Regions from separate parts of the Mus musculus genome. Here region 1 is reported to be linked to region 2. Evidence: microRNA targets listed by miRTarBase, many of them from high-throughput screens and not tested one by one. Region 2 holds a microRNA gene; the other region holds the end of a gene's coding sequence.

Region 1 (3,000 bases), not on the chromosome of region 2:
CCACTGATTCTCTGCTACAAATGCCACCATTTGTCCTTTAATGTGGCGATGATGAGCAAACCAGTATGGCTGGTGAAGAACCTTCTGGAATCTTGTCAGCTTCCTTACAGTAACGCACCAGTCCATCTGATGCCGCTTGCTACTGGGAGACAAGGGCTGTAGTCTCTGCTCCTCAAGACGTCTCAACTCCTTTTAGCCGGCACAGACTAACATGTGCCTACAGCATTCACTGCCTCATGGAAACCAGCTTAAGAGCCCAACTACCTAGTTCTACATGCGCAGTTACCAGGATTCTACAAGCACCCATGCTTATTAATGTTGTGGGAGAGTCTACCTGAAACACAGGAAGAGCAGCTAGCAGTGGCCTGAGCCTAGCCTGGTACAGGCTACAGTCCCAAGATCTAAATGCCTTCAGCTAAGTAAGGCATTGCTGAAAGCACACAACTGGGTAGAGACACATTGGCTACCTTACCACAGTCTCTTGACGGCACCATATGCTTGCGCTTCTCATCTAACAGTCTGACTCTTACCAGATGTGGGGTCTGCATGTCAGCATCTGGGACAGATCCTTCACCAGTACCAGAGCCCTATACGGTCTTTGGAGCAGAGCCTGCACTCTAGGGTTTGTAGTAGCCAGAGAGGCAACTGGATCAAGTGTCCCAAAAGGACATTCCCATCCCTTTCTTCATTGCAGACAGAGAGACGTAAGGGCCTAGGATGATCTTAAGTACTACTGTGCAAGGAAGGAGGCTAGAACAGCTGGAAAACAGAGGTGGCAGCTTTAGGAGTTACAAGGACCTGCCAAGCTTGGTGTGGTAGCACATTACTTTCAGCCCAGCACTCAGGAGGTAGAGGCAGGTAGATCTCCAGCCAACTCAGTCTATAAATCAAGTTATAGGATAGCAGGGTTATACAGAGAAACCCTGTCTCAGAAGAAAAAGGAAAGGGGGTGGAGTGGGGTGGGGTGGGGTGGGAGGGGTGTCAGCCCTGGCTAGCATGTGGAGAGTGAGCAGTGACGTGGCTAGCACAGGGGTCACCTGTTCAACAAGAAATAGCCATGGCTACCTGATATGCTAGGTCCAGCAAGAGTGACCATGTTACAAGAATCTACTAAAGGGCAAAGAAGGGGAATGGAAGTATTTTTGGCACCACTCTGAGTCCGATGGCCTGAGCATGACAACTGACTGACCACCTCTGGGCTCCTGAAGAGGGCTGCTAAAACATCATCAAGCTGTGAGCTCTTCCTACACCCTGACATCTAAACCTGGCTTGGGTCCCAGAATAGGAAGAGAGATAGCCTGGGGCAAAGACACCCCTCAGATACCAGCAATAACACATGAAATTTTAAGTGTGGATAAAATCTGTAGACATTGCAGTGCATTTGGGGGTTGGGGTAGGGTCAGGCCATTAGAGAGAAATGGTATCTCAGATCACTTAGAAGGAACTAGGCTGGGCAGTGGTGGCGCACAACATTAATCCCAGCACTTGGGAGGCACAGGCAGGCGGGTTTCTGAGTTCAAGGCCAGCCTGGTCTACAAAGTGAGTTCCAGGACAGCCAGGACTACACAGAGAAACCCTGCCTCAAAAAACCAAAAAAAAAAAAGAAAGAAAGAAAGAAAGAGAGAGAGAGAGAGAGAGAGAGAGAGAAGGAACTAGGCATTAAGCATAGGTAGAAAGCAGAGCCACCTAAATAAAGGACTCTTACTATTCCTTGTCCATATCTCTCAATTCTTAAACCGCAAGAAAGCCATTCCCAACCAGCTTTGAAAGACCATACAAAACATCCATACAAGCTCCAAGAAACAAAATTTCTTCCCCCTTCCTCATGCCAGGCAGAACCACACCTCTGGATGGTTTGGGTAGGAAGCACTAGTTGAGGGCTAAGTAGTCTTGGGAAGATACCATTATCTACATGGCTCTGGGACCCTTCTCTGCTTCATGGTCAAGGCAACCAGGAAGTATCTTAGGTTGAAGATACCACCAGGCAATAGACTGGACTATACTCACAGTCCCTTGCAACATCACTGCAGACAGAACAGCCAAGTGGAAAAAAGATATCAGAAAGAAAGCAGCAGTGGCTATGGCCTCCCTTCGCATGGATAACAGCTCCAAAGACAAAATGAACACCAGGCAAATGAACTCCTCTTGCAAGGAGGAGACCCCCTGGAAGGCTCAACACACAGACAGACATACAGTCAGGACGCCACACAGGCTACAGGACTTCAAGGGCTCTGATACCAAAAGGATTTCTGAGGTCTACCCTTCTCGGGTCAGCTGTCCTGGCTTCTGTGGATGGTACAACCCCTACTTGTTGCACAGGCTGTCCTTTGCATGTGGATATTGTTATGCTGTTAGAGGTGCTCCTGTTCACTGTCTTCTCAGGATTCTGGGCTTGACTTTCTCTACTGTGCAGACAGATTCATGGGACCAGCTCCGTAGACCTCCTTTGTGGATTCCACGATGCCCGTGTCACAAAGCATAGTCACTGAGAGAGGTCACCAACAGGATTACCACCTCCTCCACCATCAAAAAGAACCTCCCGGCGGCCAGGCTCAGTGATGGACAATTCTTGGGCCAGGTCATTAAACCGAGATATGTAGTCAATGCTGTTCTCGTTCATCATGCACACCAACTGGGAATCCACCACCTGTAGGACAGAAGGGACAAGGAGACATTAGTCTGAGGACGGCTTACCATCCAGAGAGAGGCTCTTGACCCCCAGAGCAGAATGTCAGTGGAAGGAGCCAACTGCTCTATGAGGAATTTTGGAATCCTTTGTGGTCTAACCACATGAACTTTTTTGTAAGAACATACTCTGCACAAGCCCCTGGGAAAGCCTCTGAGAACATGAAACACCTCGATACTGAGAATATAGTAGCAGCAACTCCATCTGATACTCATGAGGAAGAGAGTCACAGAAGGGCCAACAGTGACAAGAGAAGGCAGAGATCAAAGCAAACAACAGTTAATGAGGGTCCCTAAAGCATCAGGGCCTCACAC
Region 2 (3,518 bases):
CCTGGAGCCTGTGTTCCTACCCAGTGGTTTGAGCTGATATTATGATAGCCCGATTCCAGCCAGGAAGCAAGCAAGCCTTCTGTCCTACAAACCAGACTGTGGCATTGTACAATGTGAGGAACTCAACTTTGGGGGAAGTCATTGTTCCTGGGTATCTAAGAATACCCATGGTGACTGTCTACTAAGAATGGGAGCCAATAGATTTGTGTCCTGGGGTCAGGGTGACTTCTGTGAGGCGGTAAGACAGGATACAGCAGGACAGGCTGGAGAGTGCCTAGTTAGGCCCTTACCTCAGCCTCCTCCAGGGCTGACTGCAGCTCCAGCTTCTCCACCTCCAGCTGTTTGCGGATCTTCTCCAGCTCGTGCACGTTTTTCCCCCCTTCTCCCAGCTGTTCAGTCAGGTCTGAGATCTCCTCTGAGGATCAGAGGACCAGAAAGATCAATATGCCTTGCCCCACTTCCCTTTCCCTGAGGCTCTTCCCTGTCCCCCAGCTCGCCCACCCTGGAGGTTCTTGTTCTCCCGCTTGAAGGTCTCCAGGTGCTCCAGAGACTCCTCATAGGCGTTCTTGAGCTTGAAGAGCTCTGTGCTCAGGGAGCGCGCCTCCTTCTGGGAAGACTCCAGCTCTGACTGCGACTCCTCATACTTCTGCTTCCACTCAGCCAGGATCTGCAGGGAAGGAGCGCCCTGTGACCAGAACTGCCCAGGCCCCTCTCCTGACTCAGCCCTCCTCCCCCACCTCCAAGGAACATGCTGTGGCCTTGAGCTGGCACTGACCCCACCAGCAGCATGCACAGTGTCTGCAGCCCCACCGTGAGCCTACCTTGTCAAAGTTCCTCTGCTTCTTGTCCAGGGCTGCGGCGGCGGCATTGGAGCGCTCCACGTCCACCATCAGGTCCTCGATCTCATTCTGCAGCCTGTGCTTGGTCTTCTCCAGGGAGGAACACTTGGCGTTGACGGCCTCCACTGCCTCCTCTGCATCCTGCAGCCTCTGAGCCAGCTTCTTCCTGTCCAGGGGAATGTATGTGACTGTACTTGGAGCCACAAGGACGTGAGATGATCTCCTCCTTCCGAGTGTTGATGGGAAAGACCCAGCTTCTCCCCACAGTTCCCTAAGATGTTGGAACCCCAGCCTAGAGGATGTGAGGGCTACTGGAGCCTAGAACAGAGACGTCCATCACAGGCTGCTCAGACTCTCCCACACATACATCACATCTGTGTGACTGTGCACCCCCACCCGCTTCCCTCAGGCCCAGGCTGCATGATGATAGCTCCTCTGACCAACAAGCTTTTTGCTCGTCTTATACGTGAGTGTCAGGTATAACCCGGGCCAAAAGCTCACCCGTCAAAGGAAGTAAGCAAGGGCCAGCCAGGCGTTACAGGTTGCAGGACTCAGGCTTTCTACCAAACACTCCCATGGCTCACCAGGTCTCCCCATCCTCTGTTCTCCCACCCCAAAGCTCTTTCCTGCATCTACTCTGCCTGTCTCCACAGCAGACGCTCTGCTCCATTCTCTTGGCAAATCCAGGGGCAGCCACAGTGGACTCACTTGGCTTCCTCCAGCTCCTCCGTCCTCTGTATGGCATCCGTCTCATACTTGGTCCTCCACTGGGCCACCTCTGAGTTGGCCTTGGACAGGACACGCTGTAGCTCAGCCTTGGCCTCCATTTCTTCTTCATACTGTTCCCTCAGCAGGTCACAGTCATGCCGGGATGATTGCAGTGCGTGGGCCAGGGCGTTCTTGGCCTGGGAAGAGGTGGGCATCAAGGAGATTGGAGCAAACCCAACCCTCCAGTCTCTAGATTCTTATGCGTATTTACTTCAGTCAAGACCCAGATTCACCCACATGAAGTGGAGTCTCAATGTCTTTGAGTGATTTCCATTTGCCTACCTCTCTCCTTTACCAATAAGGAGTCATTAAATGATCAGGAGGGCTGACCATTTAGTAGGGAGATAGGTTACCAGGTTACCTCTGGCATCCAGGTGCACTCTTGGAGGTAACAGTGTGTCCAGTGATGCCACGGAGTCTGTCCCACTGCCATTATATGGGCCTCACCTTGCCTTCCTCCTCCAGTTGCCTCTTGAGGTCCTCCATCTGCTGGGTGTAGGAGAGCTTGCCTCGGGTCAGCTGGGAAATCAATGCCTCCTTTTCTTCCAGTTGCCTAGCCAACTCCCCTGCAGGTGGAATGAAGGGTTCTTGGGCCATGGAAGGGGGAAACCAAAGCTACCAGGGGCAGGCTAGGGGACGGTAAGGGGCACCCACCGTTCTCTGTCTGCAGCTTGGCTCGCTGTGTGGTGAAGTCATTGAGGGAGCGCTGGGCTTCTTCCAGCTTCACGCGGTACTCATTGGCCTGGTCCTCCAGTGTCCGGGACACTTTCTCCAGGTTGGCCTGCAGGCATTAATGAGCAGAGGAAAGGTGAATGTGGAAAGGGCCACGACTGGCAGGGAGGAGGGGAGCTGCTGAGAGGGCCCACCTTGGCCTTGATGATCTGCTCCATGTTGGAGGTGACGTCATCCAGCTCCAGCTTGAACTCGCTCTTCTCTTTCTCCAGCTTCTGCTTCACCCGCTGGAGGTTGTCGATCTGCTCGCCCAGCTCCGCCACGCTGTCAGCATGCTTCTTGCGCAGGGCCGCCGCCGTGGCCTCGTGCTGCAGCGTGGCCTCCTCCAGGTCCCGCCGCATCTTCTGGAACTCGGCCTCGCGCTTCTTATTCATCTCTATCTGCACGGATGTGGCCCCGCCTGCCTCCTCCAGCCTCTCACTGATCTCCTCCAGCTCCCGGGACAGGTCAGAGCGCAGCTTCTCCACCTTAGCCCGGGCTGTGCGCTCTGCCTCCAGCTCCTCCTCCAGCTCCTCGATGCGTGCCTAGCCAGGGATACAAAGGATCAGACCTGCTTCCTGGACCCCTCCCTTGAGGCCCGTGCTCCAGGGCTCTAAAAGGCTCCCATGCGCACTAAACCTCTAGCACGGGTTTTCAGCTACTAGGTATAGCTGGTGATGGCTGGAGACATTTTAAACTGTGTGGAGGATGCTATAGAAGCAAGGGACATTGCTAAACACCCTAGAATAGAAAATTGGCCGAAGCCAAAGTTTGGAGGATTTCCCTAAAGCATCTGAGATTCAGTTTGAGCATCTGCAGCCTAAGTGTTGAGCATCTGTGTTTGGAGCGGGATCCTGAGATCTCCTGAGATTATGAACCTCAGACAGCCAACAGTTTCACCTGACTCTGATCCACTGACTATAAGGCAAGGAAATGAGCACTCGGTTTTTTTTGTTTGTTTTTTTGTTTTTTTGGTTTTTTTTTTGTTTTTTGTTTTTTTAAACTAACATTTGTAGCAAAGCTGCCTCAAGAACAACCAAATCCTACTGCAATTATCTGAGCTAACCATGAGGTCTAATCACCTAGATTCCCCATGTCATGGATTCCTTAGGTATCCTAGGTCCAGGATGTAGCTTGATTGCTCCTTTCCAAGCCAAGCTATGTATCAATAAGATGCCCTCTTCTTCATACCCCTACCTC

What was found. The annotated mature microRNA mmu-miR-208a-3p reads AUAAGACGAGCAAAAAGCUUGU and lies in region 2 at 1,282-1,303, opposite strand. An mRNA with a match to its seed (bases 2 to 7 or 8) in the 3' UTR can be bound and repressed. Matches are read on the target gene's strand: a 7mer-m8 pairs with bases 2 to 8, a 7mer-A1 pairs with bases 2 to 7 and ends in A, and an 8mer does both.
Region 1: miRTarBase lists Cramp1l as a target of mmu-miR-208a-3p. The part of its 3' UTR that is shown has no 7-base or 8-base seed match.

The regions. Positions count from the first base shown.
Region 1 is chr17:24,962,300-24,965,299 of GRCm38, forward strand. It overlaps Cramp1l (cramped chromatin regulator homolog 1), which reads right to left. Exons shown (of 21, transcript NM_020608.3): 21 at 1-2,647. The coding sequence ends at 2,483. Among named protein-coding and RNA genes, the nearest start is that of Jpt2, 3.2 kb to the left of the region's middle.
Region 2 is chr14:54,947,791-54,951,308 of GRCm38, forward strand. It overlaps Mir208a (microRNA 208a), which reads right to left and starts at 1,352; the gene lies at 1,270-1,352. Myh6 (myosin, heavy polypeptide 6, cardiac muscle, alpha) reads right to left here. Exons shown (of 39, transcript NM_001164171.1): 26 at 2,474-2,863; 27 at 2,262-2,388; 28 at 2,055-2,173; 29 at 1,548-1,744; 30 at 822-1,005; 31 at 502-667; 32 at 291-415. It overlaps Gm52092 (a long non-coding RNA gene), which reads left to right and starts at 3,250. Exons shown (of 3, transcript XR_003950992.1): 1 at 3,250-3,518.